4 linked regions of the Stegostoma tigrinum genome follow. The protein of the gene in region 2 interacts with the protein of the main gene of each other region in a pairwise test. Links are inferred from orthologs where the notes say so. Each region holds a gene or a part of one and is shown on either strand. Other genes may lie near its edges. The genes, in order: hmmr, morn4, ran-binding protein 3 and bend3.

Region 1 (7,183 bases), on a different chromosome or scaffold from region 2:
GGTCCCGGAGGTGTTGGGGTGAAGTGTGGAGGGTCTCCTGGTCCAGGAGGTGTTGGGGTGAAGTGTGGAGGGTCTCCTGGTCCAGGAGGTGTGGGGATGAAGTGTGGAGGGTCTCCTGGTCCAGGAGGTGTGGGGGTGAAGTGTGGAGGGTCTCCTGGTCCAGGAGGTGTTGGGGTGAAGTGTGGAGGGTCTCCTGGTCCAGGAGGTGTGGGGATGAAGTGTGGAGGGTCTCCTGGTCCAGGAGGTGTTGGGGTGAAGTGTGGAGGGTCTCCTGGTCCAGGAGGTGTTGGGGTGAAGTGTGGAGGGTCTCCTGGTCCAGGAGGTGTGGGGATGAAGTGTGGAGGGTCTCCTGGTCCAGGAGGTGTGGGGATGAAGTGTGGAGGGTCTCCTGGTCCAGGAGGTGTGGGGGTGAAGTGTGGAGGGTCTCCTGGTCCAGGAGGTGTTGGGGTGAAGTGTGGAGGGTCTCCTGGTCTAGGAGGTGTGGGGATGAAGTGTGGAGGGTCTCCTGGTCCAGGAGGTGTGGGGGTGAAGTGTGGAGAGTCTCCTGGTCCAGGAGGTGTTGGGGTGAAGTGTGGAGGGTCTCCTGGTCCAGGAGGTGTGGGGGTGAAGTGTGGAGGGTCTCCTGGTCCAGGAGGTGTTGGGGTGAAGTGTGGAGGGTCTCCTGGTCCAGGAGGTGTGGGGGTGAAGTGTGGAGGGTCTCCTGGTCCAGGAGGTGTGGGGATGAAGTGTGGAGGGTCTCCTGGTCCAGGAGGTGTTGGGGTGAAGTGTGGAGGGTCTCCTGGTCCAGGAGGTGTTGGGGTGAAGTGTGGAGGGTCTCCTGGTCCAGGAGGTGTGGGGATGATGTGTGGAGGGTCTCCTGGTCCAGGAGGTGTTGGGGTGAAGTGTGGAGGGTCTCCTGGTCCAGGAGGTGTTGGGATGAAGTGTGGAGGGTCTCCTGGTCCAGGAGGTGTGGGGATGAAGTGTGGAGGGTCTCCTGGTCCAGGAGGTGTGGGGGTGAAGTGTGGAAGGTCTCCTGGTCCAGGAGGTGTGGGGGTGAAGTGTGGAGGGTCTCCTGGTCCAGGAGGTGTGGGGATGAAGTGTGGAAGGTCTCCTGGTCCAGGAGGTGTGGGGGTGAAGTGTGGAGGGTCTCCTGGTCCAGGAGGTGTTGGGGTGAAGTGTGGAGGGTCTCCTGGTCCAGGAGGTGTGGGGATGAAGTGTGGAGGGTCTCCTGGTCCAGGAGGTGTGGGGGTGAAGTGTGGAGGGTCTCCTGGTCCAGGAGGTGTGGGGGTGACGTGTGGAGGGTCTCCTGGTTCAGGAGGTGTTGGGGGTGAAGTGTGGAGGGTCTCCTGGTCCAGGAGGTGTGGGGATGAAGTGTGGAGGGTCTCCTGGTCCAGGAGGTGTGGGGATGAAGTGTGGAGGGTCTCCTGGTCCAGGAGGTGTGGGGATGAAGTGTGGAGGGTCTCCTGGTCCAGGAGGTGTGGGGATGAAGTGTGGAGAGTCTCCTGGTCCAGGAGGTGTGAGGGTGAAGTGTGGAGGGTCTCCTGGTCCAGGAGGTGTGGGGGTGAAGTGTGGAGGGTCTCCTGGTCCAGGAGGTGTTGGGGTGAAGTGTGGAGAGTCTCCTGGTCCAGGAGGTGTGGGGATGAAGTGTGGAGGGTCTCCTGGTCCAGGAGGTGTGGGGATGAAGTGTGGAGGGTCTCCTGGTCCAGGAGGTGTTGGGGTGAAGTGTGGAGGGTCTCCTGGTCCAGGAGGTGTTGGGGTGAAGTGTGGAGGGTCTCCTGGTCCAGGAGGTGTGGGGATGAAGTGTGGAGGGTCTCCTGGTCCAGGAGGTGTGGGGATGAAGTGTGGAGGGTCTCCTGGTCCAGGAGGTGTTGGGGTGAAGTGTGGAGGGTCTCCTGGTCCAGGAGGTGTTGGGGTGAAGTGTGGAGGGTCTCCTGGTCCAGGAGGTGTTGGGGTGAAGTGTGGAGGGTCTCCTGGTCCAGGAGGTGTTGGGGTGAAGTGTGGAGGGTCTCCTGGTCCAGGAGGTGTGGGGATGAAGTGTGGAGGGTCTCCTGGTCCAGGAGGTGTGGGGATGAAGTGTGGAGGGTCTCCTGGTCCAGGAGGTGTTGGGGTGAAGTGTGGAGGGTCTCCTGGTCCAGGAGGTGTTGGGGTGAAGTGTGGAGGGTCTCCTGGTCCAGGAGGTGTGGGGATGAAGTGTGGAGGGTCTCCTGGTCCAGGAGGTGTGGGGATGAAGTGTGGAGGGTCTCCTGGTCCAGGAGGTGTTGGGGTGAAGTGTGGAGGGTCTCCTGGTCCAGGAGGTGTTGGGGTGAAGTGTGGAGGGTCTCCTGGTCCAGGAGGTGTGGGGGTGAAGTGTGGAGGGTCTCCTGGTCCAGGAGGTGTGGGGGTGAAGTGTGGAGGGTCTCCTGGTCCAGGAGGTGTGGGGATGAAGTGTGGAGGGTCTCCTGGTCCAGGAGGTGTGGGGGTGAAGTGTGGAGGGTCTCCTGGTCCAGGAGGTGTGGGGGTGAAGTGTGGAGGGTCTCCTGGTCCAGGAGGTGTGGGGATGAAGTGTGGAGGGTCTCCTGGTCCAGGAGGTGTTGGGGTGAAGTGTGGAGGGTCTCCTGGTCCAGGAGGTGTTGGGATGAAGTGTGGAGGGTCTCCTGGTCCAGGAGGTGTGGGGGTGAAGTGTGGAGGGTCTCCTGGTCCAGGAGGTGTGGGGATGAAGTGTGGAGGGTCTCCTGGTCCAGGAGGTGTGGGGGTGAAGTGTGGAGGGTCTCCTGGTCCAGGAGGTGTGGGGGTGAAGTGTGGAGGGTCTCCTGGTCCAGGAGGTGTGGGGATGAAGTGTGGAGGGTCTCCTGGTCCAGGAGGTGTTGGGGTGAAGTGTGGAGGGTCTCCTGGTCCAGGAGGTGTTGGGATGAAGTGTGGAGAGTCTCCTGGTCCAGGAGGTGTTGGGGTGAAGTGTGGAGGGTCTCCTGGTCCAGGAGGTGTTGGGGTGAAGTGTGGAGGGTCTCCTGGTCCAGGAGGTGTTGGGATGAAGTGTGGAGGGTCTCCTGGTCCAGGAGGTGTTGGGGTGAAGTGTGGAGGGTCTCCTGGTCCAGGAGGTGTGGGGGTGAAGTGTGGAGGGTCTCCTGGTCCAGGAGGTGTGGGGGTGAAGTGTGGAAGGTCTCCTGGTCCAGGAGGTGTTGGGGTGAAGTGTGGAGGGTCTCCTGGTCCAGGAGGTGTTGGGATGAAGTGTGGAGGGTCTCCTGGTCCAGGAGGTGTTGGGGTGAAGTGTGGAGGGTCTCCTGGTCCAGGAGGTGTGGGGGTGAAGTGTGGAGGGTCTCCTGGTCCAGGAGGTGTTGGGGTGAATTGTGGAGAGTCTCCTGGTCCAGGAGGTGTTGGGGTGAAGTGTGGAGGGTCTCCTGGTCCAGGAGGTGTTGGGGTGAATTGTGGAGAGTCTCCTGGTCCAGGAGGTGTTGGGGTGAAGTGTGGAGGGTCTCCTGGTCCAGGAGGTGTTGGGGTGAAGTGTGGAGGGTCTCCTGGTCCAGGAGGTGTTGGGGTGAAGTGTGGAGGGTCTCCTGGTCCAGGAGGTGTTGGGGTGAAGTGTGGAGGGTCTCCTGGTCCAGGAGGTGTTGGGGTGAAGTGTGGAGGGTCTCCTGGTCCAGGAGGTGTTGGGGTGAAGTGTGGAGGGTCTCCTGGTCCAGGAGGTGTGGGGGTGAAGTGTGGAGGGTCTCCTGGTCCAGGAGGTGTTGGGATGAAGTGTGGAGGGTCTCCTGGTCCAGGAGGTGTTGGGGTGAAGTGTGGAGGGTCTCCTGGTCCAGGAGGTGTTGGGGTGAAGTGTGGAGGGTCTCCTGGTCCAGGAGGTGTTGGGGTGAAGTGTTGGGGTCGGGGAAATGGATGGGGAGGTCAGAATTTGAAAGAATCTTTGCGGGGGTTGGAAGTAAACAGGGAATGTTGGGAGAACAGTCTGGGGAGAGTTACCATGGTGAAATGGTGGGGACAGTTACCACGGCGACAGGCGCTGAGCATTTCCATGGTGACGGCGTGATGGAGGATTACCATGGTAACAGTGGGGGCGAGGAACTCTGGTGGTCGGGGTGATGGTTACCCGGTTGATAGAGAAGAGGCCCGCCCCCATAACGGTCACGTGAGCGGACCAGGAGGCCGTTGGCGGTTCCCGGGCCTCTGATTGGTGCGCGGTGTCATGTGACCGAACATTCAAACGGCCGGCGGTTGGCGGGGGAGCCGGATCGAGTTATTCCATCAACTGACGGTCGCAGCTCTCGGACGGGACGAGACGGCATGTCATTCCCCAGAGCGCCGCTTAAACGCTTCAACGACAAAGTGGGTGAGTTGCGTTCCCGGGGCTCACAGGGAATCCGATCTCCGAGAACTTTCACTGTGTGTGGGTGAGTGACGGCTCCGCTGCAGGTTGAGGTCTGATCGCAGCCGCTGTCAGCTTTTTGTCATGTTCATGGGACGTGGACGGTCTTTGGCTGGGTCAGCATTTACTGCCCGTTCCCTATTGCTCCTTCAGAAGCTGCTGTTGTTTCCCACGTTCTGTTGGCCTGATGCACTTTGCCTGGTACGATCTGCACGCAAAACAAAACTTTTCACTGCACCAAGGTTCATGTGACAATGACAGATTAAATCAAAAGTATCTACTTTCCCCTTGTCCTTTTACATGGAAGCGAATGTTGGTTTGAGAAGTGCTGTCTAAGGATCTTTGTATTTCTGCAGTGCATCTTGTTGCTGGTACATACTGCTGCTACTGAGTGTCGGTGGTGGAGGGAGTGGATGCTTGTGGATGTAGTGCCAATCAAGCGAGCTGCTTTGTCCTGGATGGTGTTCCAAAAGTGATTGAAGGAGAAATTTCTCTCAATGGGAGGGTGTTGGAAATCTGCATGCAAGAAAAGCCCTTTGGCCCACTGAGTCTGTGTCTTGTGGATGATGCACACTACTGACTGGGGGTTGGTGGATGGAATGGATGCTTGTAGATATGGCGCTAGTCACGCAGACTGCTTTTTGTCCTGTTTGGTCCTGCACCCATCCAGGCCAGCATGGTGTAGGCAACTAAAGCGCCAGGCTGTTTCCGCCAGTTGTGTCTTCGCAGGGTCTTCAAGGACAGGTGTGCAAATTCCAATGTCCTGATTGAAACAGATTTTCCCCAGTCATGCGGTCATGGAGAATGAGGTTTGCTGGCTTATGCTGTGTCTACATCCCAAGTGATCAGCTTCTCAAGAAGGCCCACTTTTCACAGGTTAAGAATGACGTAAACTCTCACAGGACAGAATAAATGTCTGTGAGAACATTCTGATTTGTTGGTTTCATTTGACAGGATGATAGTGGGCCTTCCAGGTAGAGATAGAGATGGATCTCTACTTTGGACTTCTGGCTAAAGATGGTTGCAAATATATTTTGTATTGATTCTCTATCATTGAAAATGGAGATCTTTATGGAGCTTCTCCTTCAGTTAATTTACTTTTACACCATCATTCGTGTTGGGTGTTTGGCAGGACTTTGAGAATTTGGATCTGATCCAACCTGTCGATTGTGAGATCCTTTGCTTACTCAGTTGCTTGCTGCTTCAGCTAGGTTTGCATGTATGTGGTCCTTGGTAATTTCACTGCTTCAGCGTTTCATTTTTTGATATATCTTGTGTTGTTCCTGGTTGTGTGCAGAAAACATAATAAACAAGGCTCAGTCCCTTGCCTTGGTGCTATCAGTAGAGGGGGATGTGCTCGACCATTTGATCATAAATTGTGGCTAAATACAATTCTGTACTTCTAATAGCCTATAATGTCTCAATGACAATGGAGCTGCTAGATTTCCCTTAGTATTCATGGCCAGAGGAGCCCTCCACACCTCCAGTTGTTAACCCTCCGTCCCTTTATGTTGGATTGAAAGAATTCTTTTTGGGACTGCAAGAATTCCTTATAGCACTTCCTGTGCTGACACAAAAAACAGCATCAGATTATGGCTAGCATATACCCTTCAATCACAATCCATATTTCAGTAACAGCTTTTTAAAATGATGTGTCCCCATGTGTAACACAACAGTGAGCCCCAAGGGGATAACTTTGTACCATTGTCAAAAATTTTGGACAGAAGGAAATTTTAATTATCTTCATTCAAGAATGTCACTGGGGAGGACTGAGATTAGGCACAAGGATATTTTGTATATTCATACTTAAGGCAATGTTGATGGTGCTGTTTGAGTTGAACCTATGATGAAGTCAAGAAGTTGAAAGTTGGAGATATGAGGTTTGCATTGTGTCACAACTCGCTGAGGATAGTGCATTGTAATTCAAACCCATCTTTCCCTGAGTTGTCACAAATGTGAAAATTTGATTAAACCCCTGAATTGCCCAATTCTATTTAACTATAATTCAGGTTGACAGATTTAGCACACCCGCCTTTTCTATTAATAAGAAAATAATGATTGATCACAATAAAACTATTCATGACAATGGTAAAATGTTGGTTAGATGAATTTCAAACTGGATTTATAATTTATATAACTTAATCTTTAAAATATTCACTCGGGTGCACAGGGAAACAGACAAGACACAAATATTATCAATGGAGAGGAAAAAGAACATCAGGAACATAATTTTGTATCACAGGTCCAAGATCTTAAAACTAGATGAATTGGCTTCAGAATCCGTTTGAGTGTTTGATGATCAATTTGCAGTTCACTGGCGATTTGGTTGGACTCAGGTCTGTCTTGTTCCGGTGAACTTCAGTATTCGTCATTTTGACAGCTCTGAACATAGTTCCTCCTTGCTCTTTCAACAGAATTTGAGGATACAATTTTCCAGAGCAAGAGAGCGGACAGATAGGGAGATGTTGATATTGCAAGCTTTGGGCAATTTCTAATGTCTTCTGTTTTCATTCCCCTTAGGATCTGTTAGATTGCAACATGATCAATCAGAGGCTTTTTGCTATGCTGAGTTCACTTGACCCCATAACAAATTATGCCAATTGAAAAGTCAACCAAAGATAGATTGTCCAAGCAGAGTTGCTCCTAACACATCAGTAGAGCTGTTTCATCTAGGCATGGTCTTTCTAAAAGTAACATTGTAACATTTGTATCAATCACCTTCACTCATTTTCCAAATCTGCAAATAACTCCTTGTATATTCTCCCTTTTTAAAGTAGTGTGCATTTTTCTCATTTTCAGTCCATACTCAAAAAGATAAATAGGTGGGATCTCTTACAGGCAGTAGATGATTGGGGTTTATTTTGGTTA
Region 2 (7,691 bases):
TTATTTGGATAAGTAACTCAAAGATCTGGTTCTAGTGGCCAGGAAGGAAGCACACAAAATACTTAAAGGAATGGTAACCCACTGAAACCCAGACACTTTTTGTTTCAATAATATACTTTATTCAAAAAATATTGTTATGCACATACATAATCACTGAAGCAGTTTGGTTCACATGAAGAAACAAACAAACATTGGAGTTTGACTCTATCCAACAAACAACCCAAAGGCACGTCATACTTGTACAAGACTATATTTATATATACTTGAGGCATCTGGAGGGTCCTACAACCATATGGACCCCCACTTAACTTTAACAGAAATCCTTTAGACAATGGTGATTCCCCATGGCACATTGGCGGTAGCTGCCCAAAGCTTTTGTGCATCCATCAGCACACAGTCGGAGACCTTGGAACGTATAGTCTGCAACACTCGCTCAGGGTCAACTCCTTGCTCTGGAAGGGCTAGCAAGTCTCAAGCAGATGAAAGAGCATCTTTCACCAAATCGATAGTCTTCCAGGTGCAATCGTTGTTTATCTCTGTGCGTCCCAGGGAGCAGACTGTAGAACACAGAGTCCTTCATCATAGAGCTGCTCAGGATGAACCTTGACAAAAACTACTGCATGTTTCTCCAGATTTCCTTTGTAAAAACATGTTCCAGAAGGAGATATCTGACAGTCTCTACCCCCAACCCAACACCCGGCAGCCAGTTTGAGGGCAGCGTGTGGTGGTGCAGAGTCTGGGCATACATGAAGGATCTCACAGGCAGTGCCCTTCTCAGTGGCCAGGTGATATCTTGGTGCTTGTCAGAAAGTTCTAGCCATGTCAGTCATTTGGCAGAATGCTTCAATCTGTTCAGGGAACAACTTAACAGAATCCCAGACTACTAATCCAGAGACACAAGTTCAAATCCCATCACTGCAAATCAGAATTGAATTCATTCAAATTCTGGAATAACAAGATTATCTCAGTTGTGATGATCAGGAAACTATGGGACTGTTGTTAAAAAATAAAAGAGGTTCCCTAATGTCCTTTAAGGAAGGAAACCAGCTGCCTTTACCTGGTGTGGCCTATTTATTTCCAAAATATCTATGCTCCTCAAATTCGGCCACAAGTATCCCTAACTTTAAAATCACTAGATGGTTGATGATCACACCTTCCAGTTTCCAAGACTCCAGGTTTTGGATTTCCCTCCTTAAACCTCTTTAACTTGCCACCTGATTTGTCTCCTTCTGTATATAACATGTTAAGAAATGTCCTAAAATTTCTCTCTCTGGGAAATATTTTCTCATGTGGCTCAGAATATTTTGTTCTAAAAATGCTGTGAAATTCTTTGGAATGCCTTGTTATGTCAAAAGCACTATACAAGTACAAACATAAAGTGCTGGATAACCCCAGGTCTGGCAGCATATATGGCTGTTAATTTACATTTGAGAAGATAACTTAAGGAAATAAACAATTAATGTTGGCCTTGCCAGCAATTCTGACATTCTGAATGAATTTTAAAAACGTAAGTATCTCAAAAGACAATTCAGTGCTGAATGATCGTGAAGACACTCTTCAATCACAATTCTACATCACAAAGTTCAAAAAGTACTTTCTTGGCTGCAAAGTACTTTCAGTACCTTCAGGGTGGTGAAAAGTGCTGCATAAATGCAAGTCTTTCTTTCTGGCTCCCAGGATAAGCAAACTGAACTAAAGAACTCTGCCAATGATGCAGCACTGTTCAGAGTCTTAGGCTATACTATCACAAGGAACATCTACTGTGGTGACTGGATGTCAAAGACTTTTGTTTTGCAACACAGCTTTTAAAAGCAAACGTTGGAAGATCTATAGACTCACCAGCCAACACAACGTGAGGTGGAAGGGTGGGTAAAACAAATCATTCTTATCACTAAATACAACAGTCAACAAACTTTATGCAATTCCACTACACATAGCAACTAGAAAAATAACTTGTGATGCTATGGCATCTTTCAGAATAACTAAATGCTTCACAGCCAACGTGATACCATTTAGAAGTGTAGTCATTGTTGTGAATCATGGCAGCCAAAAGCACACTGCAAGCTCTTACAAACAAAGTGATAATATCTAGATCATTTGCTTTAGGTGTTGGTGAAGGGATAAATATTGACTCAGCGCACCAGGGAACACTCCCCTGCTCGAGTAAATTGGTGGAATGGGATCTTTTACACCCGCTGAGGACATCTTGGCTCTACTTCTCAATGTCACATGTGAAAGGTGTTACCTCTAATATCACAACACTCCCTCTGTATGGCATTGGTAACATAATCTTTCATATTATATACGCAGATCTCTAGATTTGGCATTGCACCCAAAAACTTACCTCAGAAGTGAAAAGAACTATACACCGGCTCTCAATTGGTACCTCAGAATATGCACAGAAGGAAGATGCCATCCTCCATCCCTGGTCTGAGATTAGGGAGAAACTGACCTCAGCATCACTGAATTAAAATAGGTGGGAGAAGGGGGAAGGCAGAAATCACTTCTTTTCATTGGTTGTTCTGGAAAGTCAATACTTGAACGCACACGTCTGGTCAGGAACATGATCAGGCTTATAATACACTGCCCTACATAGCCAAATATCTAACAAACATTCATTATCCAATCTCGCTCATCAAAAATGGGCAACTTACATCCCCTCAAACAGCAAACGCCTAGTGTCCTTATTTTTAAACTAAAAACACAGATGTAGAAATAAGTGAATCAAGTATAAATTTGGACTTAGCAATAACGTACAGGAGGAAAAAATCTGAATGGCCTACCAGCTGAGAATTCAAATTCGGGGGGGGGGGGGGGGGACAGAAAAGAATAACAAAAAGAAACACTGATGCTGAAAATGGACTCTTTTAAAGCTTTTTTTAAAAAAAGTGCCTACTCACCCTGTAGTGCTAAACAGCCTGTGGATCATGCAACAGGGAGCCAGGTTTAAATTGATGAATATTCAGCTCCCAGGCCCTGCCTGAGTCAGACATGTCCTCCTGACACAGACCCCACACCCCTCAACAACGCGCTCCTTCATTGGTGTCCTCCCCACCACTGGCTCCGTTACCCTTGGCAACGGCCTTGAGGCGGCTGGCTGCCATCTCTGTGAGGGGCAGAAGCAGCATTTATGTATTGTAAATATGTCATTTATCGGTGCACAGAGCCGGGGATTTATGCAGATTTTAAGTTATTTTAATTTGTACAATACGCTGGCGAAACGGTGATGCCTACAATTCGGTTTTGTTCTTAAAACGATGCAATTATCTGAAGGCGTCCATGTCTGAGCGGGGCATATGGAGTGGCCCTGTGAGTTTTTTTTGTGAATGATTATTTTGATTGCTCAAGCAAAGTTCTTGAGTTGTTTCCTGATGGAGGGTGATTGAGCTCGAAGCGTTAGCTCTGTTTCTGTATCCCTAGATGCTGCTTGTCTGACCTGCAGTGCTCCTCCAGCCACACATTTTTTCAACTACTGCCAGACCTGCTGAGTTTTAACAGCCTTTTTGGCTTTGTGTACACAGATCTGCCCAGTCTCAGTAATTTAAAATGAAACAAGCCACTTCACTGCTTGCTTCCATTATTCAGTTGCGTATGCAGCAGAACATCCCTGCATGCTCCATGACCACCATCATCCTCAGCCCCTTTGCCCATACAAGTTGACATCACTAACCCACCAGCCACTCCATATCTTCCAGCTGAAGTTAAGTGGGAGTCTGTTCAGTTATCAGACCCTTCTGGTGCCTAAATGCATGTAAATGTAGTATTATGTATGTTACCGAGGTCTTGGGTGGTTTGCATAGTCAAACTCCAATGTTTGTTTGTTCCCTTGATATGCTACTGTACAGAACCGAATTGTATTTATGCAAAAAATTTTTAATGAACAAAGTATAGTTCTGAAATGAAAAAGAAACAGCCATTCCATGTACAAGTGTCTATTAGCTTCTAGAAACCCTCATATCTTGTATTGAAATGTACATAGTTTCTGGTCATATTTGATAAATGTTTTCCAATTTTTAGTTGTTTTGAGACAACGAAGAGTGCAAAGTTCTTGACTGAGAAATGTGATATTTTCATTGTATTTTCTGTAATATTGGCTTGAACTGTTTTGTAATTTACTTATAAATAATTTATGAATAAAGAATATATTTTCATGTAAACAAGAACACCAGCCACACCACCTATTCATGGCTGCTTACGGAACAACTCTCTTATTACATCAACACTTGCCTTTGGAGCTAAGGCAAAACTACAACTTCTGTGCTTCTGCCAGACCGCTTTGTGCACCTGGAAACACACGCATCTGCACTCAATGCATCTTAAGGCTCTTTGCTTGCTTTTTTAGTGTTCACTCACTTTGTGCTTACTTAGGCGCTGCTAGACTTTGTGGCTTCATTGCTGTTTAGCACAGAGGCAGAGGCAAGAAGCTTGTCAAAATAGGGAGCATTTGACAGTTAGCTACGTCAGCAACACACCTCCAGCATTTGGCAACAGTCTATGCGGCAAACACACTGCATGTGCTTCAAGCAAATGGGTGAGCCAACCCTATTACATTCTTTTCAACTGTCTGGATCATTATCACTGAACTGTGTCATCTGCTGGAACAGGACTTGGTGGAAATCCTGTCACAAATCCTGTCAGCAAGTTCATAGCTGCCTTGAATTTTTATTCCAGTAGCTCGTTTCAAGAAGCAACTGGGGATTAATGTGGTATCTTCCAATCCTCAATCCATGATACATCCAGGATATAACTGATGCTATTTTCTTCAGATCACAGTTGTTTGTGTCCTTCCCCAATGACTAGAAAAGTCAAACACCCTGGGTAGTGGGATTCTTTAGCATCACTGACTTGCCCCAGATGGCCCCTTTGCTTTGAGAGCATAATCGCACCAACTGGCAAGGTTCATCAACAGAAAAGGTTTCCACTCTTTAAATGCTCAAATTATACGTCGCCATCAACACTGAATCTGGGAGGTCCAAGCCAGATATTCTGGGAATGCTGTGACTCAAATGCACAGAGAATTCAGAAGTTTCTGCTTCCTTTGAATGTCCTTTAACCTTACAGTGGTAATTAACACAGAACATAGGACATTACAGCACATTACAGGCCCTTCGGCCCTCGATGTTGTGCTGACCTGTCATACCAATCTCAAGCCCATCTAAACTACACTATTCCATGTACGTCCATATGCTTATCCAATGACGACTTAAATGTACCTAAAGTTGGTGAATCTACTACCGTTGCAGGCAAAGCGTTCCATACCCTTACTACTCTCTGAGTAAAGAAACCACCTCTGACATCTGTCCTATATCTTTCACCCCTCAATTTAAAGCTATGCCCCCTCGTGCTCGCCGTCACCATCCTAGGAAAAGGGCTCTCCCTATCCACCCTATCTAACCCTCTGATTATCTTATATGTCTCAATTAAGTCACCTCTCAACCTTCTTAATGAAAACAGCCTCAAGTCTCTCAGCCTTTCCTCGTAAGACCTTCCCTCCATACCAGGCAATAATTGTTGGGAGACAAGGGTTTCCCCTCCAAACATGGCTCATGACACCTTTACACAACCCTGAGACTGATGCAGACAGTGCTGCTGACATCTCACCAGCAGCAGACTGTAGTTTCCTTGAAATGCAATCTTGCTGCTTGGACTGTCTGTTGGCTTTTCAGTATAGTCTTGAAGGTGTCTTGCGTCATTGTGGCATACTGGAGCCGAAAAACACAGGAATGTCCATGATGCAGAGGAAATAAGAGATCAACAGCAATCTTTTGAAGAGGAAGATGAGGATGTGGTTCTGGACATTTATAAGGAGACCCACCTCAGTCAGCAAGACAGAGCAGTGCATCTCTGAGTGTGTGAACCCAGGACGAATAAGCAGGGTTTGATGATTCCCATTAATCTGGGAAACAACCCCTGCCTAACGCAAAGGATGTGTGGATCCTGTTGCAATCCTTGAGCTTTTCTTGTGCTCGCTAAATGTCTTATTTTCATTCTGATTGTATACTTGCTCTCTTCAGGTGAAGCCACTTTCAAGTATCAAGTCACATTACATGTTGTATTGACTGTTAGGGAAAAGACAGAGAGTAACATCACATGGCACTAAAGTTAGGTGGCTCTTAAGTCAGCATATCATATCTGCACAGTGAATTCTGTCATTATATAATGGGAGGAACTCTGAGAAATTTTCTTCTGACCTTTCTGTCCTCAAGTAATCCTTCAATGTTCAACGTACATCCAGATTGAAAAGTTGACCTGAAGTGCTTGAGCATCTTGTAGGACAACTTTGAATTATGAGAAGAAATTTTTTTTTTCTGCCAAAGAAAGTGCATGGTATAATGAGGAAGATTGAACATGTGAAATGAACACTATACACCTCTCAGCTTTGAATGGCTGCATGCCCCCTTGAAAACCTGATGAAGACAAAAGGGCTTTCCCTACAGAGATGACTGAGATGTGTGGAAACATCACTGATTCTTTATTCTCACTCATGACGAGGTGCAAGAGTGAAATAGTTTTGCAGGCCAGACCCTAGTACAGTCTCTGCATACTGCGCTCATCCTCAGTGTTGTCTACATCGAAGTACACCAGGGCTGCAGTTATTAGTGCCACAATTCAAGGATCTGAGGCATCTGAATATTTCTGTAGTCAAGGAGTCAACTGCTTGTGACAGACGAATAATGTTTAGCCATCATACCTTTCTAGATGGATTAGCCGTGGAAAATGCAGGATTACAGGGATCGGGTACGGGGTGGGTCTGGGTGGGCTGCTCTTTGGAAGGTCAATGTGGATTGATGGGCCAGATGGCATGATTCCGCACTGTAGAGATTCTATGTCCGAACAGGCTTCTCAGACTTCACAGCTTACATGTAGTTTTTATGTTTGTTAGATGAGCTGATAATTAGAGTGAAGGTCATGTAAAAACAGAGATTCTCAGCAAGCTGCATGGGTTCTTGCATTGAATTGTCAGGAGCCCAGATCTCAGATGATTTTGAAGCAGGAACAGAAATTGCTGAAGAAAATCACAGGTCTGGCAGTATCTTTTGACCCAGTTCTGAAGCAGGGTCATTGGACTCAAAATGTTGACTCTGCTTTGTCTTCACACCTCTTGGGTTTCTCCAGCAATTTGTTTCAGATCTTCAGCATCTACAGTTCTTCATTTTATCTCAGATTAACTTAAAATCAGAACAGGTTGGGAGATAGTCCTTCTCTCACTTTCAATATATAACTGTTCATTACCTTGTTTGTAAAGTTATTTGTCTATCAGGTGCTTATTCTTATTCAGAACAGCTTCTGCTGTTATTTTTAAACGCAAATAACAAACATGGCCGTCTCATCTATTTCACTTGTTACAAGTCCAAACGCATTTTTTCTGAAGAAGGGTCCAGATCTGAAACATCAGCCTTCCTGCTCCTCTGATGCTGCCTGACCTGCTGTGTTCATCCAGATCTACACCTTGTTATCTTATTTTTGAATATGGTGGTATGTTAGCCTAAAATACATTCTGTTGTTTCAGACTTTGAGACATCCCAGGTCTTTGTGTTGGAATGAGTTCCATCGTAATACAATGAACCCTTCCGATTCTTACACCCATCCAGATGTCTTTTAAATGTTGTAATTGTACCGGCATCCACCACTTCCTCTGGCAGCTCATTCCAAACACGCACCTACCTCTGTGTGAAAAAGTTGCCCTTTAG
Region 3 (7,223 bases), on a different chromosome or scaffold from region 2:
TATGCCCATTGATCTTGTGGCAGAAGTCATGAATATCGAAGGTGCTGTTGTTGGAGGCTTGGCAGATTTCTGCAAAGCATTTTGTTTTTGATACAGTCTTGCTACCACTGGATGTGGAAGGAATTGGTGTTTAATATCGTGGATGAGGTGCCACTCAAGTGGGCTGCTTTGTTCTGGTGTCGTGCTTCTTGAATGTTGGAAGAAATCCTTCCCCCAGTGTAATGAGCCTGTGTATTTACTCCGCCACTGAAGTGGCTGAGGCTAAAACATGTGAGTGCTTCCAAGAAGAACTTAGATATACTTGTTAGGACTAAAGGGATCAACTGGCATGGGGAAAAAGCAGGAGAAGGTACTGCGTTGGCTGATCTACCACGAACATTTTGAATGGCAAAGCAGATTTGTAGAGCCGAATGGCCTACTCCAACTTTCTATGCTTATATTTCCAAGTGGAGTGGATTTCATCACACTCCTGATATATGCATTGTAATGCCATTGAATATCAAACAGCAAAGAAGGATCGATCACTGGTCTTGAAATTTTAACTCTGCTTTCTTTCCACAGATGCTGCTATGCCTGCTGAGTTCCTCCAACAATTTCTGCTTTTGTTCTGAATTTTCACAATCCACAGTTCTTTGTATTAATCAAGGAGTGAGAGTTAGATTTGCCCTTCGGAAATTGGTCATTGCACAATACTTGTGCAGCAGAAATGTTAATTGTTACTATCAGTCCATGCCTGAATGATATCGAGAACTTGCTGCATAAAGACATTGACTATTACAGTGGTTGTGGTATTGTGAGTGGTACTGACAACTGCACAATCACAATGACCATTCCTACTCAGCATGGGAGAAAAGCTGTTGATGAAACAGCCACCAATAGTTGGGGTTGGAGGCCATCTGAAGAGTTACAGCAGCATTGTCCTCAGGCTGAGCTGAAGGCCTTGATCAACTGCCATTATCTATCTTGGTACTAGATATGATTCTAACCAGTTATCCCACTCATTATATTTGTCAGCAATAATAAGAACTGTCATTGCTGGAGTCAGAGAAAACACACCGTGGAGCTGGAGGAACACAGCAGGCCACGCAGCATCAGAGGAGCAGGAAAGCTAGCGTTTCGGGTCAGGACCAGTTCTTTTTGATTTGGTTGTCTACTCAATTATGAAACTGTCCTTTTATCATAAACTTCTTCCTGTTTCATTTTAATCTGCTTATCTTTAGTCATCCAGGGACTTGAAATCCTTCCCTTCCCTTTCGTGAGAATAGTTTTCACCTCTACCAGAACTATCTGCTCTCAAATGACCTACAAATCCTCATTTATGATGCTATCAGGGATAAAATGAGTAAATGAAGAGTTTGCAAAACTTGGTTTGATTTTGTTTAGAAGCTTGATCCAAATAAGGTCCTTAAAATCAGAGAGATTTGATAGGGTAGGTACAAAGAAACCATTTCCTGAGATAAGAGAATCCAGAATATGGATGCACAACCTCAAAATAGGTTAGCAATTTGGGAGAGGGATTAGCTAGCATATTTCCCCACACAAGCAGTGTGTTGAGAAAATTCTAGATTCTGAGTCAACTGAAATCTTCTGATGAGAAATCACCAGGATATGGAGGAAAGGTTGGAAAACGGAGCTAAACCACAGCTAATCTGTAATTGAACACAGTGAGGCTAAATAGCCTATGATTTCTCTATTGATTTCTCTTATTCATCTCTGCATTTCTCATCTGTCCCTTACTCCTTCACGTTCTTCTCTAGCACCAAGGTTCTTCACTCACCTCCATCACTTTGGACTGGGGTGAAGGGCTTATTTTATGATAAAGGTTGAACAGGTTAGACCTACATCCAGAATTGAGCATACAAGATCTCAAGGGCAGTGAACAATAGATGCCAGGAGGATATATCCTCTTGCAGATACTGAAACCGACAGATACAGTTTAAGACGAGTTCTCTTTTGTAAGACAGAGCTGACAATTATTTTTCCTGAATCTATTGTACGTGGAACACACTTCCCTAAAAGGTAGTGGATGCTGGGACTTTAAATTTATTCAAGATTGAACTTGAGAGATTTTTGGTCAAAAAGGAAGTGAAGTGGAGACCTCAACCCACATTAGCCATGACCTTACTGAACGATGGACAGGCTCAACAAGTTAGTGGCATACTCCAAATTACATTCTCTGCACTTTGTACCCTCCTACTCCCCCTCTATCCAACTTGTCTCTTCCCATCTGCTTTCATCACAATTTCCTTCTGCCATTTCCCTCATTTCACTCGTTCACACCACCGTCCGGTCTGATCACAACTCGCTGAATCTAATCTTGCCGCATTACTAATTTCCCCTTGTGTCTCCTCCCCGATCACTCCCTTACCAACCACCTTCTTTTCTTGCTGCTACCCACACTGATTCTTCCCTTAACCCTGTTATTATACCCCACCCACTGCCCTGGTGGCTTTCTCCCTCTTACTGTTTTCTTTCCGAATCACTTTCGGAGCTTTCTATCTCACCGTTCATTTCCTAATTCTCCTTCTCGAACGCTCCCCCTTCCCGTTTTCTGGCAGGTTTATGTTTCAATCACTTTCTGTTTCTCACCGTTTACCTCTAACAGACACATACTTTCTTTTCGAGCCTTACCCCTTCCTCTTGTAACTATCCAAACGATTAACACTATTTGATTTTGTTACTGATTTGTTTGACGCTTTGGCCTGGTTAGCCGGTGTTTTGTTGTGGGTGTGTGCAACTCGTTCCTCCCCTTAGTCTACCCATTCAGCGGACACCGACACTGCACTGAGGCTGAGGCAGAAACCTGAGGCAGAAACCTGAGGCAGCTGCGTGCACATCTTGGACTAAAGAAGCTACACCCCCAACACCTCGCTTGAGCCGCGCTCCATGCTCATTTTCACCTGCTTACCTTCGTTGGCTAGATCCGCCATTTTAGGATTCTCCGCGTCCCCACAATTCACCGCGAACGGAAAGTAGCAATGCGCATGCGGCTTATCCTCAGAGGCGCCACTTTTTGGGGGTGGGGAGGGGTGCAGAATCGCGCGTGCGCACTTGTTGCTGAGTGCCCGGCGGTGCTTGCAGGGAAACTACCGATGACAGAAGTCTCCAAGAGAGCGCACGCGCACATGTTGCTCAGGGCGGGGCTAACCGTCAATGACCAACGGTCCGTGTAGTGCGCTTGCGCTGCCTGCTTGCAGCTGGTGACCTGTCCGTTGTCGGGGAGGGACGGTGAGGGGTGGAGAGATCGGAGATTATTTTCAGGAAGCGGTTTCATAGTCAGTCAGTCACCCAACAGGCAGCGGCGGCTTCGTGAGTGATCGACAGAGCAGGGACGGGAATAAATCGCCTGTTAAATGACTCGTTCGCGGCAGCAGAGCGCATGCGCCTCCGCATGGTGAGCCGAGTTTAATCTCTAACTCGTTCTGTTTGAGGAAGTTTATATCAAACAGGCCACTGGGATTAGAGTGCGTCAAAACAAAAACAATGCATCCCGGATGATGGGAATTTGAAGTCAAAACGGAAATGCTGGTTATAGTGCATCTGTGGGACCGACCATAGATGATCAAGGTCATGGAGTTGGAACATTCTTCGCCCCAGTGATAGTGCCAAACCTGCTGCGTATTTGCAGCATTGTCTGTTGTTTTTAGAGTGAGAGGTGGACATCTTTTGAGGGTTCAACATGGCTGGCCTCGCTGCTACAATGTGGGAATGTGATCTGTAGCTGAAATTGATATAATTCATCATTAGAAACATAAAATGGTTGCAACACAGTGGGCGTTGCGATTCATCCTGTCTCTGCAAGACCAACGTGCCTAGTTCTACTCTCCTGTTTTGTTTTAGTAATTTTTGTTTCTCTTCTGTAGTGCTATGAGCACAATGTGGAGGCAACTGCATGTAAAATCAGAGGCATCTCTCTCAAGCAAATGTTGTCTATGCTAAATACCAAGAAGATCAGTAGTGTCTAGAGCAATCTCAGTTCAAAAAGTCGACTAATTTTTAAAAATCAGCATGGATACAACCTATTTGGATATTAGCAAGGCTTTTCACAAAATCGTAGCAACCTGGTCAAAAATGTATAAGCCAAAAGAGAGTGCCACCTTGGATCCATAATTGGCTTAGTGGCATGAAGCAAAAGTTAGTTGTTGACAGGTTATTTTGCTGCTGGAAGTCATGTTTCCATGGGAGATCTGCAGGACTCCGTACTTGACCCTTGGGTTTTTTAGTTTATATTTTTGATGTAGGCTGTAATCCAAGATGCATGATAAAAATATTTTAACTGAAATGAATCTTGGCAACAGTGTGAGTTTTGACAGTGAAAAGAAAGGTTTAGACTGCAGAAAGATGTAGATGAGCAGGTTGGTTGGGCAGAAAATGAAAAAGAAAATTCCAACAAGAGAAGTAGTACAATAGACAAGAGGATATATGTTAACCAGGATGATACTGACTCTTATAGAGGAACAGAGGTCCTTTGGAATTTTAGAATGCACCTATCCTTGAAAACAGAACAGGCTAGAAACATAGAAAATAAGTGCATCGAGTTTGTTCCACCTTTCAACATCATCATGGCTGATCTGTTATTTCAATACTACGGCTTCATCTTGAGGAGAATTTCACATGTTCACTACCTACTGAGTGGAGAAATTTCTCTTCATTTCAGTCTGAAATATGTAACCTTGTACCCTGAAACTGTAACCCCTTGTTCTGGGATCGCTGGCCAGGGAAATCACCATCCCTCCAGGCAGTCTGTCAATCCCTATCAGAATTTTAAGTTTCAATGAGACCACCTCTCATTCTGCTAAACTCCAGTAAAAACACATCCAGTCAATATAATCTGTCCTTTTTGAATAAACTTGCCATCCCACGATTCAGTCTTGTGACCTTGCATAACATTTCCTCTATCGGCAACAATATACTTTTTTACATATAGTATCCAGTTGTGATCTCAAAAGGCCTTGGACAGCTGCAGTAAAATGATTTCAATCCCATACCCAAACCCTCTTGCAATGAAGGCCAACATACCATTTGACTTCCTAATGTCTTGCTGGACCTACACGTTTGTCTTCAATGACTGATGCATAAGCACCTGTCACTTTGTAAATGAAGCAAAGTGGAGTTGAGGATTATCACATCAGTCTTGATCTCATTATATGGCAGAGAAGACATGATGGGCTGAAGATCTATGTCTGCTCCTGTGTCGTGTCATACATTAACATTTCCCAGTCTACCACCATTTAAATAATGCTTTGCCACACTGCTTTTCGTATCAAAGTGGACAACTTCACATTTATCTATGTTGTCCTGTGTCTGCTGTCTATTTACTCACTCACTCAACTTGTCTAAATAAGCTGAACCACCTTGATATCCTCATCACAACTCACACATCCCCCTAGTTTTTACAGTAGCAAACATTGAAATATTGCAGAGATAATGGGAACTGCAGATGCTGGAGAATCCAAGATAACAAAGTGTGGGGCTGGATGAACACAGCAGGCCAAGCAGCATCTCAGGAGCACAAAAGCTGATGTTTTGGGCCTAGACCCTTCATCAGAGAGGGGAATGGGGAGAGGGGGAGGCAGACTGAAGATGGATAGAGGAGAAGATAGGTGGAGAGGAGAGTATAGGTGGTGAGGGGATAGGTCAGTCCGGGAGGACGGACAGGTCAAGGAGGTGGGATGAGGTTAGTAGGTGGGAAATGGAGGTGCGGCTTGAGGTGGGAGGAAGGGATAAGTGAAAGGAAGAACAGGTTAGGGAGGCAGGGACGAGCTGGGCTGGTTTTGGGATGCAGTGGGGGGGAGAGGACGAGCTGGGCTGGTTTTGGGATGCAGTGGGGGAAGGGGAGATTTTGAAGCTGGTAAAGTCCACATTGATACCATTGGGCTGCAGGGTTCCCAAGCGGAATATGAGTTGCTGTTCCTGCAACCTTCGGGTGGCATCATTGTGGCACTGCAGGAGGCCCATGATGGACATGTCGTCTAAGGAATGGGAGGAGGAGTTAAAATGGTTCGCGACTGGGAGGTGCGTTTGTTTATTGCGAACCGAGTGGAGGTGTTCTGCAACGCGGTCCCCAAGCCTCCGCTTGGTTTCCCCAATGTAGAGGAAGCCACAACGGGTACAGTGGATACAGTATACCACATTGGCAGATGTGCAGTTGAACATCTGCTTAATATGGAAAGTCATCTTGGGGCCTGGGAGGGGGGTGAGGGAGGAGGTGTGGGGGCAAGTATAGCACTTCCTGCGGTTGCAGGGGAAGGTGCGGGATGTGGTGGGGTTGGAGGGGAGTGTGGAGCGGACAAGGGAGTCACGGAGAGAATGGTCTCTCCGGAACTCAGACAAGGGTGGGAATGGAAAAATGTCTTGGGTGGTGGGGTTGGTTGTAGATGGCGGACGTGTCGGAGGATGATGCGTTGTATCCGGAGGTTGGTGGGGTGGTGTGTGAGAACGAGGGGGATTCTCTTAGGGCGGTTATTGTGGGGGTGGGGTGTGAGGGATGTGTTGCGGGAAATGCAATATCGCAGTTGATTCCCCCATTGAATTAGTTGACATATGTCACAAATAGCTGGGATTCAGAAAGTAGTTAGGAGACCAAATGCCATGCTTTCCGTTGTTAATGCAGGCGTAGAATTTAAGACTACGGTGTTCATAAGAGTCATCGAGTAATACAGCACGGAAACAGGACCTTCAACCCAATCTGGTCCATGCTGACCATGGTGCCCACTTGGCTAGTTCAAATCACCTACATTTGGTCCATATCCCTCTAAACTCTTCTCTTCCATGTTCCTATTCCAAATGTGTTTTTTTACATGTTGCTATTGTACCAGCATCAACTATTTTCTCCTGCAACCCAATCCATATATACACAACTCTCTGTGTGAAAAAGTTGCCCCTCAGGTCCTTCTTAAATCTATCATCTCTCATCTTAAATCTATGCCCTCTAGTTTTCAGTTCCCATCCCTAGGAAAAAGACTATATGCATTCATTCTATCCATGCCCCTGATGATTTTATATAGCTCAAAAAGGTCACTCCTCATTCTCCTACATTCCAAGGAATAAAGTCGTATCCTGACCAACATCTCCCTATAACTCACGCCTACTAGTCCTGACAAAAGTCCTCATAAGTCTTCTTTGCACACTTTCCATTTTGTCTATGTCTTTCCTATAAATCTATCATCTCTCATCTTAAATCTATGCCCTCTAGTTTTCAGTTCCCATCCCTAGGAAAAAGA
Region 4 (7,503 bases), on a different chromosome or scaffold from region 2:
CACCCAGCCTGCACTACATTGGACATTATGGGCAATTTACTAAGGCCAATCCACCTAACCTGCATATAGATCATAGATTATAAAATCCCTATAGTGTAGAAACAGGCCCTTTGGTCCAGCAAGTCCACACCGACCCTCAGAGCACCCACCCAAACCCATCCCTCTATAACCCACCTAATCTACATGTCCCTGAGCACAATGGGGAATTTAGCATGGCCAATCCACCTAGCCTGCAAACATCTGGACTGCGGGAGGAAACTAGAGCACCTGGAGGAAACCCACGTAAACATGGGGAAAATGTGCAAACTCCACACTGACAGTCGCCCGAGAGTGGAGTTGAAGCCGCGTCTCTGGCGCTGTGAGACAGCACATCTTTGGACTGCAGGAAGAAACCCACACAGACACAGGGAGGATGCATGAACTCCACACAGACAGTCGCCCAAGGGTGAACAGAGTGTGATACAGATAGTTTTGTTATAACGTGTGTTTTGTTAACACAAGTTGGCAGTAACCTGATTGATGGAGGCTGTTTGGATATCACGAGCTTTCTGCTGTACACATATAGCAATTTTCTATAGCAATTTCCCTGTAACAATTTTCTATAGTAAGAGGTCACTCAAGAATGTTATTGCATTAAAGGAGAACTACTATATAGCCATCTTTTTCAGAGCGGCAGTCAGTGTCTAGTGGAGTTACTCAGCAATCAATGTTCAGTATGCAAGTTATACACTAACAATCTGGACGATGGACTGAGGACATCATTACTAAACTTGCAGGTGATGCAAATAAAGGTGAAAGAACTAGTAGTGTTGAGGAATTGCAGAGGCAACAGAAGGACTTCTGTCCAACCCATTGTATCCTCACTTCCGTTCTCCTGCACATTTCAGTCTCTCCCCTTCATTTGCAGGTCAAACCAATCGAAGGATCTCTCTGATGTTTATTTCCTCCCTTCTCACCAACTTTGTCTCCTCTCTCATCCCCTGTCATTATATGTTTTTCTAAAAAAAAATACAAACCAGGAACAAAACATTGGACAGGCAATGAGAGTGGGCAAAGAAGTGGCAGATGGAACACATTGTGGGAAAGTATTAGATTATGCACTTAGGGAGGAAGAAGAGAGGAGTAAACTATTTTCTACATGGGAAAAGGTTTGTAAATCTGAAGTACAAAGGGACTTAGCGTTCCAAGTTGAGGATTCTCTTAAGGTTAACATGCAGATTCAGTTGGCGGTTAAGATGTTAGCATTTATTTCAAGTGGGCAAGATTGCAAGAGCAGAGGTGTACTACTGAGGCTCTATATAAGGCTCTGGTCAGACAACATTTGAAATATTACGAGCAATTTTGGGCTCAATATCTAAAAAGGGATGTGCTGAGAGACCCCAGAGGAGGTTTAAAAGAATGACCCTGAGGATGAAGGGTTTCTCAAATGCGAAGCGGTTGAGGACTCTGGGTCGGTACTTGGAGTTTAGAAGGATGAGGAGGGTGAGGTTATTGACTTACTTCCCAAGCTGGCTTGTTTTTGTTAGGTGACACCTTCACTGGAGCCTCCAATGAAGTGGCGTTGTTCTACTCCACTTGGAATTTAAACTGTCCGATCCATTACAGTAAGTACTGTCATTCCCGGTTTTGATCTGTATGGGTTTGTATGTGGGGTCCAATTCTACATGTTTGTTGATTGAAGAATGGGTGGAGGACAATGCCTCTAGGAATTCCCGTGCGTGTCTATGTTTGGTTTTGGCTCCTGTGGTTACCTTGTCCCAGTTAAACTGATGGCCTTCATTGTCTCAGTGGACAGATATTAAGGAGAGTTCATTGTGCTGTTTTGCTGCTCGCTGATGTTTGTGTATTCTGGTGGCTAGTTTCCTTCCTGTCTGTCCGATGTCATGTTGATGGCGTTGCATGGTATTTTGTAAACCACGTTCGTTCTGCATGTTGTGGGAATGCAGTCTTTAATCCTTGTAAGCGTTTGTTGTAGAGTGGGTGTGGGCTTGTGGGGGCCACCCTGATTCCTACTGGTCTTAGGAGTCTTGTCGTCAGTTCCGATACATCCGGATGAGGAAGGTTTTGCGGAAAATTATGAATACTGAGAGGCCTGGACAGCGTGGACATAGATAATAAAATGTGAGGCTGGATGAACACAGCAGGCCCAGCAGCATCTCAGGAGCACAAAAGCTGACGTTTCAGGCCTAGACCCTTCATCAGAGAGGGGGATGGGGTGAGGGTTCTGGAATAAATAGGGAGAGAGGGGGACGCGGACCGAAGATGGAGAGAAAAGAAGATAGGTGGAGAGGAGAGTATAGGTGGGGAGGTAGGGAGGGGATAGGTCAGTCCAGGGAAGACGGACAGGTCAAGGAGATGGGATGAGGTTAGTAGGTAGGAGATGGAGGTGCGGCTTGGGGTGGGAGGAAGGGATGAGTGAGAGGAAGAACAGGTTAGGGAGGCAGAGACAGGTTGGACTGGTTTTGGGATGCAGTGGGTGGAGGGGAAGAGCTGGGCTGGTTGTGTGGTGCAGTGGGGGCAAGGGACGAACTGGGCTGGTTTTGGGATGCGGTGGGGGAAGGGGAGATTTTGAAGCTGGTGAAGTCCACATTGATACCATTGGGCTGCAGGGTTCCCAAGCGGAATATGAGTTGCTGTTCCTGTAACCTTCGGGTGGCATCATTGTGGCACTGCAGGAGGCCCATGATGGACATGTCATCTAAAGAATGGGAGGGGGAGTGGAAATGGTTTGCGACTGGGAGGTGCTGTTGTTTATTGCGAACCGAGCGGAGGTGTTCTGCAAAGCGGTCCCCAAGCCTCCGCTTGGTTTCCCCAATGTAGAGGAAGCCACACCGGGTACAGTGGATGCAGTATACCACATTGGCAGATGTGCACGTGAACCTCTGCTTAATGTGGAAAGTCATCTTTGGGCCTGGGATAGGGGTGAGGGAGGAGGTGTGGGGGCAAGTGTAGCATTTCCTGCAGTTGCAGGGGAAGGTGCCGGGTGTGGTGGGGTTGGTGGGCAGTGTGGAGCGAACAAGGGAGTCACGGAGAGAGTGGTCTCTCCGGAAAGCAGACAGGGGTGGGGATGGAAAAATGTCTTGGGTGGTGGGGTTGGATTGTAGATGGCGGAAGTTGATGCGTTGTATCCGGAGATTGGTGGGGTGGTGTGTGAGAACGAAGGGGATCCTCTTAGGGTGGTTGTGGCGGGGGTGGGGTGTGAGGGATGTGTTGCGGGAAATGCGGGAGACGCGGTCAAGGGTGTTCTCGACCACTGTGGGGGGAAAGTTGCGGTCCTTGAAGAACTTGGACATCTGGGATGTGCGGGGGTGGAATGCCTCATCCTGGGAGCAGATGCAGCGGAGGCGGAGGAATTGGGAATAGGGGATGGAATTTTTGCAGGAGTGTGGGTGGGAGGAGGTGTATTCTAGGTAGCTGTGGGAGTCGGTGGGCTTGAAATGGACATCAGTTACAAGCTGGTTACCTGAGATGGAGGTTGAGAGATCCAGGAAGGTGAGGGATGTGCTGGAGATGGCCCAGGTGAACTGAAGGTTGCGGTGGAAGGTGTTGGTGAAGTGGATGAACTGTTCGAGCTCCTCTGGGGAGCAAGAGGCGGCGCCGATACAGTCATCAATGTAACGGAGGAAGAGGTGGGGTTTGGGGCCTGCGTAGGTGCGGAAGAGGGACTGTTCCACATAACCTACAAAGAGGCAGGCATAGCTGGGGCCCATGCGGGTGCCCATGGCCACCCCCTTAGTCTGTAGGAAGTGGGAGGAATCGAAAGAGAAGTTGTTGAGGGTGAGGACGAGTTCGGCCAGGCGGATGAGGGTGTCGGTGTAGGGGGACTGGTCGGGCCTGCGGGACAGGAAGAAGCGGAGGGCCTTGAGGCCATCTGCATGCGGAATGCAGGTGTATAGGGACTGGACGTCCATGGTGAAATTGAGGTGTTGGGGGCCAGGGAATTGGAAGTCTTGGAGGAGGTGGAGGGCATGGGTGGTGTCACAGACGTAGGTGGGGAGTTCCTGGACCAAAGGGGAGAAAATGGAGTCCAGATAGGTGGAGATGAGTTTGGTGGGGCAGGAGCAGGCTGAGATGATGGGTCAACCAGGGCAGGCAGGTTTGTGGATTTTGGGAAGGAGATAGAAACAGGCTGTGCGGGGTTGGGAGAACAATGAGGTTGGAGGCTGTGGGTGGGAGGTCCCCTGAGGTGATGAGGTCATGAATGGTGTTGGAGGTGATGGTTTGGTGCTCGGGTGTGGGGTCATGATCGAGGGGGCGTTAGGAGGTGGTGTCGGAGAGTTGGCGTCTGGCCTCGGCGATGTAGAGGTCAGTGCGCCATACTACCACTACGCCACCCTTGTCTGCGGGTTTGATGGTGAGGTTGGGGTTGGAGCGGAGGGCTGCCCGTTCTGCGGGGGAGAGGTTGGAGTGGGTGAGAGGGGTGGAGAGGTTGAGGCGGTTAATGGTGGGTGAGAGGGGTGGAGAGGTTGAGGCGGTTAATGTGGGTGAAAGGGGTGGAACATGGATATGTTTCCACACATAGGAGAGACACAGGCCCGAGGGCACAGCTCAGAGTGAAGGGGTCTCCCTTAAGAACTGAGATAAGGAGGAATTTCTTCAGCCAGACAGTGGTGAATCTGTGGAACTTATTGCAGCAGAACGCTGTGGAGGCCAAGTCATTGAGCGTACTTAGGACAGAGATAGATTCTTGATTTGTGAGGGGATCACGGATTACACAGAGAAAATAGGAGAATGGGGGTGAGAAACAAAGCAGCCACGATCTAATGGCAGATCACACTTGATGGGGTGCATGGCCTAATTCTCCCATAACTTCTAGTCTATGGTGATTCCCCGACCCTTTTCTCCCCAAAGGTTTTCAACCTCTTTCCCTCACCCCTCTCTCCCTCACTCCTTTACCAGCCTCCTACCTCCATTCTCTCGTGTTTTGTTGTTTTCTCTCTCTCTCTCCCCCGGAGTTTTCCTTCCTTCTCTTGCTGCTCTTTCCTGCCTGTCAGTTTGTCTCTGGCCTCCCGTGTTTCTCATTTCCCCCTCGCTGGTCTCTTTTCGTGCCCCCCGTCTTTTTTTTCCTCTCTCAATCCTCCTCTCTCTCTGTCCCTCACTGCCCCGGTCCTTTCTCCCTGTCTCTGATGTTTCTCCCTCTCCCTGTGTGCGTCCTTTTCGCGTTTCCCTTCTCTCGTGTTTCTCTCCTTCCTTTCTTCTCTCCCTCTCGCCTGGCTGCGGAAATGACACAGAGTCACGTCACGGAGCAGACACCCGGAGTAACAGAGAGAGAGAGAGAGAGAGAAAAACACGGCTCCATTTTCCACAGGCGGCCGGGGAGGGAGCTCCGCTTGACTCAGCCGGAGCGGCCAGGTAAGTCTCAGGAGGAGGCAGCAGGACAAGGCAGCAACTCAGAGAATGGGGCTATGCAGGAGAGCGAGGGAGAGGTGGGAGGAGGGCAGGGAATGTGACACACACAGGAGAGAGATTTGTGTTTTATCTGCAGTGATCTTTATCCCTAAGCAAAGACAAACACTGCCTCTGAGAGCAGGGTCATGGCGTTACTGCTGTACGTGCCCTTTAACCAACCCCAGCGCTGAGCTCAACTGCTTTGCAATTGCACCCCCTCCTCTCTCTCAAGTTTGTAAGAAATTGTTGGTGATTTCGAAGCAACGTGCAATCTCACCCCCTTAGGAGGCAGTGAATTTTCAGGCTAAAAGGGAAGTGGAATGGGTTTTTTTTATGTTCCACGCTGAGTTATGTCTCGGGTTTTTTTTGCTGGGTGAAGACACAGCGCCCTCATAGGATTATCGTCCCCCTCCCCCGTGCCAGGCACATGGCAAACTCACTCAACTCCAGTTCGGCTCAGATTTACTGTAGCCAAATTGTACGCAATTTCATTGGGCTATCCCCCCCGCTACAAATCTCTTTAATGTATAAATCTCACCACTTCACATAAAAATAGATAAGACCACGCTGCATCAAATCAAATATCATACGTTTTCAGCGTCAAAATAAGCATTTCTCCTAATTATTAATGTTCCTTCTCAGATTGGGTCTTTCCACTTTTTAAATGCAGTTGCTTCTTTTACTTTGTAACAATAAGTTGTGGAAGCCAACTACACTTGACCTCACATTAAGCTGCATTAAATCTATTTCTGTTAATTGTGAATTTGAAAGCATAAAAGTGCATTTTCAAAAAATGTATTGGAATGACTACGGTGTGAGCAGAGGGTAGTTGGACAACAGCAGCTATTTCTTGAATGTTTACAGTTTGATTTAGTTCATGTGGAGAAAATGCAATCAGTATATTTTGCAACAGAATGAAACAGTAGCTGTTTTTTCTTAAAAAGTTAACAAAACACTTTGTCTGGAAAACAAAAATGGAGCTGTATATGGTTCATTTCTTTCTCAGACATTTATAATTCACTTCGGCAGATTAAAAAAGTTTTGTAAGAGACACTGGAAAGGGTGTACTTAATTCTTAGGCAAAATTAGCTGTTGAATGAATTAATTTCAGGAAGCTGATAAAATCTAAGTTGTTTATTTAAGGGCAGAGTGACTGAATGTATAACTTTGTTTCTGGTTGATGCAGATAACTTTACTAGCTGTTAAATAACACGCATTTGATTCGTTTGTTTTTAATCGTAGAGTTGTTTATTCCAGGTAGAAAATGAACATTGCGGAGCAGAATGGGGGACCTGGACCCAGAGTAATATTCATAGTTCGAAATCCTTCAGTCAGTACGAATGAAGAGTTAGGAAAAGGAGCACAAGGTAAGTTCCTTTATAAGTTCTTTGATGGGAAGGAGAAGAGGCCTTCATGATGTAATGGAAGTCATGCCACACACAGACATAAAGCAAAGATTTGCAGCCTGCTTCAGCAATACATGGGTAAGGATTTTAGTAGAAGTACTGACATGCCCTGTAGCACAAACTTGAATGGCTTTATCTTCTGTTCTTTTCTTTGTTAACTTCTGGTAATTTATGTCATTTCAATAGTATTTCTTTGGCACTAAGTGCACACGAGGTGAACAAATGGTGTAGTATCACCATTTAGCAAAAACACAGCTTGCAATTTAACTGGAATTGGTAGGTACCAAAATAGAATGTTCTACAATGAGACGTGATTAGCTGGGAAGAGCAATCATAATATTAATTCTATATCGAGTTTGAGGTTGATTTATTTCTGTAAAGTACTAGGTTGTTAACTCTGAAGAAGAAACCAAATTACATGTGTATGAAAAGCAAATATTGGAAATAAAATAGTGTATTCCTTAGTTGTATTTGGATGTTCTGAACTACAAAATTATCGTAAATGCATTTCATAAACTTATCCTCCTCACTATTACTGCAAATTTGTTTGATAAAGTCTACATGCAGATTAGAGTCCCCAGCATAACTATATTACTCAAGTTACATACACTTCTAATTTCTTCTTTTATATTCTGCCATACACTACAGCTACTTTTGCAGATCAATAAACTGTCTCGACTCTAACTGGTTTTACATCTGGATTTTATCA

What was found.
Region 1: the proteins of morn4 (region 2) and hmmr interact in binary tests that used the Homo sapiens proteins (3 or more experiments, as listed by UniProt). The two-hybrid records come from large-scale screens. The link is inferred for Stegostoma tigrinum from reciprocal best matches to the Homo sapiens genes MORN4 and HMMR.
Region 3: the proteins of morn4 (region 2) and ran-binding protein 3 interact in a two-hybrid assay, tested with the Homo sapiens proteins (2 studies listed by BioGRID). The two-hybrid records come from large-scale screens. The link is inferred for Stegostoma tigrinum from reciprocal best matches to the Homo sapiens genes MORN4 and RANBP3.
Region 4: the proteins of morn4 (region 2) and bend3 interact in binary tests that used the Homo sapiens proteins (3 or more experiments, as listed by UniProt). The two-hybrid records come from large-scale screens. The link is inferred for Stegostoma tigrinum from reciprocal best matches to the Homo sapiens genes MORN4 and BEND3.

What each region holds. Positions count from the first base shown.
Region 1 is NC_081366.1:12,723,990-12,731,172, forward strand, and holds the start of hmmr (hyaluronan mediated motility receptor), read left to right. Parts: upstream 1-4,166; 5' UTR 4,167-4,233; coding exon 4,234-4,279; intron 4,280-7,183. UniProt on the Homo sapiens protein: Receptor for hyaluronic acid (HA). Involved in cell motility. When hyaluronan binds to HMMR, the phosphorylation of a number of proteins, including PTK2/FAK1 occurs.
Region 2 is NC_081373.1:12,102,143-12,109,833, reverse strand, and holds the start of morn4 (MORN repeat-containing protein 4), read right to left. Parts: upstream 3,015-7,691; 5' UTR 2,901-3,014; intron 1-2,900. UniProt on the Homo sapiens protein: Plays a role in promoting axonal degeneration following neuronal injury by toxic insult or trauma.
Region 3 is NC_081383.1:25,610,563-25,617,785, reverse strand, and holds the start of ran-binding protein 3, read right to left. Parts: upstream 3,010-7,223; 5' UTR 2,931-3,009; coding exon 2,909-2,930; intron 1-2,908. UniProt on the Homo sapiens protein: Acts as a cofactor for XPO1/CRM1-mediated nuclear export, perhaps as export complex scaffolding protein. Bound to XPO1/CRM1, stabilizes the XPO1/CRM1-cargo interaction. In the absence of Ran-bound GTP prevents binding of XPO1/CRM1 to the nuclear pore complex.
Region 4 is NC_081357.1:28,190,923-28,198,425, forward strand, and holds the start of bend3 (BEN domain-containing protein 3), read left to right. Parts: upstream 1-4,498; 5' UTR 4,499-5,352; intron 5,353-6,645; 5' UTR 6,646-6,652; coding exon 6,653-6,755; intron 6,756-7,503. UniProt on the Homo sapiens protein: Transcriptional repressor which associates with the NoRC (nucleolar remodeling complex) complex and plays a key role in repressing rDNA transcription.